Mus musculus: one gene and its partner. The protein of the gene in region 1 purifies or fractionates together with the protein of each later gene. This does not show direct contact. Links are inferred from orthologs where the notes say so. Each region holds a gene or a part of one and is shown on either strand. Other genes may lie near its edges. The genes, in order: Prdm16 and Ctbp1.

Region 1 (3,810 bases):
TCCTTACCACTGGACCATGGCAAGTTCCTCTGCAGAGTGTCCCTGCTGCCTCAGGCCGTCCAGTGTGCACTCGAGAGTGTGCTTCTGAGCACGGCACAGGACTGACTGTTCCATGCTATGTCACTGAGATTCACCGCAACCTGCAGGGGAATGGTGTCTTCTGGGATATCCCCATCACGGATCCCAGCGTAGCCTGGACCACTGAGCATCAGCAAAGATGACGGTCTTTGTCCCAGAACGGCCTTAGCAAATATAAAAGATCTGTGCTTGGATGTTTAAGTTGCTCCCAGAGGGAACCGCTGACAGGCCCACGGCATGACACGCGTGCTCCGAGTTTGCTGACGCTCACACAATCACAATCTCTTGTAGTTTTAAATGACAACCCAGGCGGTCTCTGTTCCTTCTTATCTTGTTGGGATATGCCCCCCTCCTTCCAAACAATAAAATAAATAGAACACTTGTCTTAAAATGTAACTGAAACTCAAATTTAACAAAATCATATGATTGTCTGGTAAGTGGGCAGTGGTGACCGTGGAACTCCTGGAGGGAGGGACACAGGGGTATTTGGCACATTAACACCGCCCCGCTCCCTGGGTACCGATCACACAGCACACAACCTTATCACACGGTTTGGTCCTTCACTACATACTTATATTAACATCATTTCTTCAGAATAAGTTGTCCAATGCCAAAAATACTGTTAAGGAAGAAATAAAATAAGGAAAGAAATGAATTAGAAAAAAAAATTACAAGTTATATACAGATTAAGGTAAATTCCATCAGGAAAAGAAATTATTTGAAATTGGCCCCTATGGGATAATTTAAAGCCCATCCAAGCAGAGAAGTAGACACGTTCTGACCGTCCCAAATGAGTGAGGCATCCGGTCTTGGGGTCTGTACTGTCTCTGTTCTTTGCTGTGGCAGGTCCCCTGGATCTTCCTCCTGTCCCCGTCCTATTCTCACCAGGAACCCACACAAAGAGCAGAAGTGGCGACTGTGTGATTGATCTGGAGTCTTAGGCACAGGTAGTGCTTGGTGTCCTGGAGTGGAGTAGCAGGTGGGCAGGCGTCCCACACTCAGTGGCCATGGGGAGGGCATCAGCCTGCCAGGGTTGGGGAGGGTAGAAGGCTGGAGGCCTCCACATGGCCCAGAGCCCTGCCTTCAGAAGAGCAGCAGTCAAGGCCAGTGCTGCTGCTGAAGGGGAAGATCCTTAGGTGTCCAGCATGGAAGACCTGAGCCACTGGCTCCCGACTTCCCCATACAATTGGGGAGGGTCTTGGGTGGGACCCGTGGATTCCTCTGCAGAGCACACAGGGCAAGGCGACCTCTTTCTCCTGGCCTCCCTCTGCAAACCTGCAGCCAGGCACCACGTCCATGAATTCTTGTGTAGTCAGCATCTGACTTAGCAGAGTGGCTCCATGCCCCTTATCCTGTGTCGGGCACACTGGAATCACCTTGGCTTATACAAACAGGTCAGAGATAGAAAAAAAATTCTCCATTATTTACATTATAAAGGGCACACCCGAGCCGTACTCGATGTCCTGGCAGGTGTGGGTTTGCCAATAAGCTGAAATTCCAAAGCGATGCAAAATTACTTTTAAAAAAACATTTTGCAAGTCTTTTTTTTTTTTTTTTGATTTTTAAAAAATACCGTCTATTTTTTTTAAAACCCACATGCTTAAATAGACTCTATAGTCAATAAGATTACCAAAAGGCTTAATCATGTGATTCTCATTATAAAAATCATTGATGAGGTCTCTCTCCATAGCACTTGCCCACGTCTTTCCGATTTCCTCTTTCATACCATGCAGTTGCCTGGATGTGGCCAACTGGCTCCTGCTGGGATAGAGACCCCACCCTTGCCCACGAGTTTTCTGATCCATGGCTCCTGTGAGCAGCTCCTGGGTGGCCCGTGCACCGCACCCACTGCAGATCGTGTCCTTGAGGCCAGTTCTGAGAGGTGATGAAGGCCAGCGGCTACTCAAGGGACCTTCGGGTTCTGAGTTTCAATGGAGAAGCTGGACTTTGCAAAGTGGAGGTGTTGAGGGTGGGGGGCTGCTCCCTGGCCCCTTCTCCATCTCCTGCAGCTGGTACCCTGGCTTTGGACTCTGGCCCTGGGGCCTCCAGGACCTCAGAGGTGGTTGATGGGGTTAAAGGCTCCGGACTCTGACGAGGGTCCTGTGATGTTCAACCAAGCATCCAGTGAGCTCTGGGAGGGGGCGTGGAGAGGAGTGTCTTCAGAGAGGGACAGCATCATTGCATATGCCTGGGGGACACAGCACACACAGGACAGGTGAGGGGCATCCTAGATAGGTAGGCCTGAGCCTTGCCTCACCAGCTGTACCCAACCTGTCCAGCTCCGCCCCTGCCCTCTCCTCCCTCACCCCACCCAGTCTAGATAGAGAAAGAGAAGCAAAGGCATTAGAGAGGCTCAGACTCCTCTGGCTTGGGAGAGGGAGACAGGAGTACATGAGAGGAGAGGGGACCTTTCCTGCCCAGAGTGACACCAGGACACACAGTAGTCCCTCTAGAGGTCTCTGTGCCTGCGGGGATCTCTTGACCTCTTGGGATGCTCCCTTGCAATTGCATCTCCACCTCCCCCCGACCCTTGGTTTCTCTGCCTAGTGACTGGCAAAAGCTGATGAACAGATGTCTGCTACGGGACATCCTGGGGATTGGCAGGAGTTATTCCTGATTCTGTGCTAGTGAGACTGCCATTGTCTAGTGGGACTCTGAATGACCGTGGTGGGCTGCTGTTTGGAGCAGAGTGGGTAGTGTCTCTGAGCTGTTGCAATTCTAAGGTAATCTGTTGTGTTTGCTAGTTTGGGACAATCATGGGGCATCCTCCTGCCTCAAACTCAGGACAGGAGGTGCCAGGGCTGAAGGCTGTGTGCAGCATAGTATGTGAGTTACAGGTGGGCGCTGGGGATGCCCAGTATAGATCCCCCATACCTCTGAGCAAACACTAGACAGAAGTAGTTAGAGACGAAGACAGACACGCAGACGAATTGGGGTGAAAGTATTTAGGTGGTGCTGGGAAGGCTGGAATGAGAGCCAAGCCCCTTTTGATGTCCCAACAATGGGGTCTAGAGTCCTGTAGCCACTGTCCCTGAGATGTGAACACAGGAGTGCCCAGGACAAGCCTGCACATACCCTCAAGGACCCTGTGTTAGCTCCAGCTTAGAAACCGGGACCACCTGATGGAGACTTTTCCTAAAACAGCAAGGTAGTCACCCATCCTGGTTCAGACCAGAGATGGGGAGACCCAGAAGCTGGAGGAGGGAACAGAACCCGATAGAGATGCTCCGGACTGGGGCTGGGATAGGAAGACCAGGAAAACGGCCCTCACTCATGATATGAGAGCTATCTCACGCTAATCCGTCTTCCAAGCCCCATCTGCTCTCCACCAGGCTGCTGGAGGCTCACAGCTACGGGCTGTCTCTTCAGACAATGAAGTGGGCATGGGGGCTGTGGATCGGAATGTCCGTCCTCCAGCCATGGGAGAGCTACAGCCAGAGTTCTCAGGTATCCTATGGTGAGGAGGCATGGCGGCTGCCTGCTGTCTAAGCCAAGTGGGAATGGGAGGAGGGACGAGGGCTCTGCTGGGTACCTACCTGGTTCTTAGCCTGCCTGTACAGGGTTTGTTTTAAAACCTCAGAATCTAAGGTGGAATTAAGCACATCTTTAACTTCAAATGCTTCCTCAGCTGCTCTGCGGAGATCCAGCCCCTTCCCAAAGGTCGGCGTCGGCTCCAAAGCTAACAGGCCGCCTCCTCGCTCCTCAACACACCTGCGCCAAGGACCAGGGAGA
Region 2 (4,092 bases), on another chromosome or scaffold:
GTGTATTTACCCACTGGGCCATCTCCCCAGCCACCACCTGCTTTTTACTATGCCCTAGTCTTAGAATTCCAGATGGCAGACATTCATTATCCATATAAAGTTGACCCATTAAAAACAAACAGCTGAGCTCTGGGATTGATGCTGCCTGTTCACTGAAGCTCCACAGTTCTACTCAGAAGGCTTGCTTCTACTTTCAACTATTTCAGCATCCACAGAGGCAGAGCCTCTTTGCTTTGGTTGATTTGCAGGCTGGACATTGATGCCAGGCTCAGATCCTTTTGGGAATTACTGTCAAATCAGTTCAGTGGATCACAGCCTGCATCTAAAGACAATGCAGTGGAGGAAATGGGAAACCGAATCACACACAGCCTGGCACTTTGCATGCAAGCTAAAACTTCTGTTTAGTAGTAATTTTCTGTTGAATTTCCTTCAGTGGGTTTTTCCAAAATGCCAGTCCAAGAGCTGCTGGCCTAGGGGCTGTTGTTTGGAGAAAAGGGGTGGTCCCACCACAGCCCTCCCTCCCTGTATGTAAGGATGGCCTCCCCAACCCAGGGCCCTCTATCCCCTTAAGATGTAGTGGGGACTATAGCCCTACCTGCTGCTGCCCTCTTCTGGGTCTCCCCAGGACTGCCTGCTCCACAGAAGATGAGTGGAGCAGGTCATGAGAGCTAGGACCAGAAGGGACCCACCAGTGCTCCCATTTGATGAAGCCATTAAAACTGGTGCCAGGCGTGCCGGCTCTTTCTGGGATTTTTATTTCTTTAAAATAATTCATACAAATGGTTACAGTCACAAACATGATTTTAACCAAAATATTGCTAGCCTACCACATGAGCAGGACGGCACCACGCAGGCAAGGGTCTGCCAACCCCTGCCTCCCCCAGGACAGACCCCGGTGGTCCTGAGCACCCTGGGCACTGCAGACGCCTCGGAGCCACTCGTGATGCCGCCTTCACTTGGAACAAGGGGTTCATGCCAAAATTAGGAAAAACAGCCTTTGTTGTTTTTCTAAATTATTCTAAAAATAAGACAAGCAGGTAGAAAAACAATGCACTGTGTGGCATAAAAAGAAAAACAGGAAGGATTCATTGTCCTGAGAAGTGTGCCGACGGCCACATTCCGGGGCACGTTCCAACGTAGAAAAGGAAAAATAATCTCAAACTGACTTGCTGAATGCTCCCTCAGGTTTTCTTTTTGTTGACAGCTAAGCAAACAAATCCTTTGTAATGTTCTAAAAACTGTACACAGACAAGAACATTCGTGATAGAATTAGCTACTAACTTCTTTTGCTTAAACGAGGAACGCAAAGGACACAGGACAGTGAGCCAGCCCACAGGACGGGACAACTACAATCAACTTGGGGACGTGCTTCCTCTTGCCCCGCCTAGTGCACGCCCGGGCCAGTCTCTGGAGTGCTAGGGCCCACACTGGATGCCACCTCTGCACACTTGGGTCCAAGAGCGTGCAGCACCCTCCACCAGGTGCCAAGGCTGGACAGCTCCTCACAGGCTACAACTGGTCACTCGTATGGTCTCTATCCGCCTCAGGCTTGACAGTCTGGCCAGGAGAGGGAGCGTGGGGTGGGTGGGCCACAGGGGGCAGGCCATGAGACAGGGACATGGCACTGGGAACAATCCCTTCCACAGCAGCTGGGATGCCAGTGGGGGCCACACTCACGACGCCTGGAGGGTACCTGCTGAGAGAGGAGGGCAGACGTGTGAGCTCTACAGAGACCCACCTGCTGCACACAGCCCTTTCTGTATGGTTATCAATGACCCCTGAGGTCCAGAAAAGTTGGAGGCAGTAAGCACTTGGTCAGTGCTGGGCAGCATCACAGCCTGGCTTCTCACATGAGGTCTTCCCCAAGCCCCATTCCCTGACTCCTTACTACTCTCTGGCCCAACAACAGTTCTGCCCAGCAGTCCTGTCTAGGAGGCCAAACCTCTTACCCCAAGAAAAGTAGACTGTCCCATCCAGCTCAATCCTCTAACATCCACAGGGGCCTTACATAAGGGTGTAGCCCCAGTCATATGACCCACTACTGCATAACCTACTAGCCAAGGTCCAGGTTTAAGCCTCATTGTCTTGCAGACTGTCCCCTCCCTTGCCTGCTCACCTGTAGGCAGCCCCATTGAGCTCAGGGTGCACCACAGCAGGGTCCATGCTGGCCCAGTGCGTGGCGGCTGTCAGGTGGTCCTTGTTGACACAGTTTTTCAAGCTATCTGGGATCCGGCCTAGGATGTTGGAAGGTACACCAGAGAGAGACAGCAATGTGGATTAAAACTGCTGCCTCTGTGGGGGCCAAGAGGCAGACCCAGAGCCACCTTCTTGCCACAGCCCTGGCTTACTCCCCAGGAACATCATAGGACCATCCACCTGAAAAGTCAGCTTCCAACCTGGAGACCTTAGCCCCATACATGTGCTCTCAGCTCACAAGCAGCTGATGGCATCCAGCACAGCAGGTCTTCATGTACGAAAATGATGTGTTACTCAACTTCACCCCAAGGGACTCCCCCACCATAAAAGAACAACCAAGTGTCACCTCCCCTTAACAGGCATAAAACAAACTTGCCAGCCTGATAGCATGGCTACCCACCTGTGATGGCTCGCCGGATTTCCCGGGCTGCCTCCTCTCTCATCTCAATGGACGCCTGCTCACTGTACCATGCAGCATGGGGTGTGCAGATGAGGTTGGGTGCATCCTTTAAGGGTCCCTGGCTAAAGCTGAGGATAGCACATACCCAGTCAGAGTGATCTGAGCACCCAAGTCTGGGAGGTGCAGAAGGCAACCAGCCCTGGGATGGGAGGGCCCCTGGCCTTTCCCAAGGCATCTGAAAAAGTGGAACTGCAGAACTAGCAAACCTACCCCAAGGTCTTAACAGTAAGGGGTAGAGGGGATTCTGAGCCTTAGAGGAAGAGCCCTGCTGTGGTGCTGGCACAGCCCTGCCCAGCAGAACAAACCCTAGGAATGAGGGCTCTCAGACAGACTCCACTGTGTTCTTCAGTGGCTAATCACTCAACTGGTCTGCTATCCCTTGATGGGCTTTGTCAGCTGCTGGAGCCCCAAGAAGGAAGTCAGCCCAGACTGGACTAGAGGCTGCATGCGAAGCCAAGCTAGTGTATGCCTTGGCCCCGCTGAGTCTGGGGACCATGGGACCATCATGGACATCAAGAGACAAACTGAAAATAAGCCAAGTCTAAGCCCAGCCCATTACTATGGCCAAGGCTAGACAGATTCTTGAGGATCTTGTCCCCTCCTGAGAGCAGACAGCAAACCCTCCCCTAACCCAGCCAGCAAGAGGGCAGTGCTCAAATACATGGTCTCCCACGTCATAGTCATCAGATTGGTGGGCATAGTCCATCTTAGGGCACAGGGGCACCTGAAGGGCTCTGACTCATGCACGTCCAGCGCTGCGCCACGGATCCGCCCTTCCTTCAGGGCCTGGGCCAGTGCCTTCTCATCCACCAGGCCACCACGGGCTGTGTTCACCAGAAAGGCTCCTTGTCTCATCTGAGAAGACAGGATGACCATGTGAGTGACTGACACTGGGGCTTTTCACTGTAATGGCACATCCACAACAAATCTCACTTCCCACCCACCAGGGGATGGCCTGATACAGACAAGTTCTGGGAGAGACCCTGGGCCAGGTGGGCAGTAGCATCAGCAAGTATACCCTGATGTATCAACAGAATGAGACAGGCCCAGGAATTTAACTACTGCTGCTGTCTAGGCCAGAGGCCCACTGTCTCCTGGGGGGAAGGGACAAGGGTAAACTCTGAGGGAAGAGTAGAGGGCTACACTGTGAAGAAGGGACAGCACTGCCCTGTGGGAGAGGGGAGGAGGGTGGTGGGGAAGCTGCAGCGTACCTGCTTGACAGTAAAGTCATTGATGAGGTGGTGGTTGTGCTCATTGAGGCCGCAATGCAGGGTAACGCAGTCACTGTGGAAGAGCAGGTCCTGCAGCGTGCTCACGCGCTGTAGCCCCAGGGCCCGCTCGATTCCATCAGATAGGTATGGATCATAGAAGAGGACGTTGAAGCCAAAAGCCTTTGCCCGAAGTGCCACCGCCTGGCCCACACGACCTGGCAGAGT

Evidence for each region.
Region 2: the proteins of Prdm16 (region 1) and Ctbp1 purify together in Homo sapiens (affinity purification with mass spectrometry; 3 studies listed by BioGRID and IntAct, with this or other methods). This does not show direct contact. The link is inferred for Mus musculus from reciprocal best matches to the Homo sapiens genes PRDM16 and CTBP1.

Annotation. Positions count from the first base shown.
Region 1 is NC_000070.6:154,318,657-154,322,466, forward strand, and holds part of Prdm16 (histone-lysine N-methyltransferase PRDM16), read right to left. Parts: intron 3,790-3,810; coding exon 3,615-3,789; intron 2,267-3,614; coding exon 2,132-2,266; 3' UTR 1-2,131. UniProt on the Homo sapiens protein: Binds DNA and functions as a transcriptional regulator. Displays histone methyltransferase activity and monomethylates 'Lys-9' of histone H3 (H3K9me1) in vitro.
Region 2 is NC_000071.6:33,246,991-33,251,082, forward strand, and holds the end of Ctbp1 (C-terminal-binding protein 1), read right to left. Parts: intron 4,083-4,092; coding exon 3,868-4,082; intron 3,512-3,867; coding exon 3,381-3,511; intron 2,725-3,380; coding exon 2,597-2,724; intron 2,235-2,596; coding exon 2,117-2,234; intron 1,697-2,116; coding exon 1,510-1,696; 3' UTR 733-1,509; downstream 1-732. UniProt on the Homo sapiens protein: Corepressor targeting diverse transcription regulators such as GLIS2 or BCL6. Has dehydrogenase activity. Involved in controlling the equilibrium between tubular and stacked structures in the Golgi complex.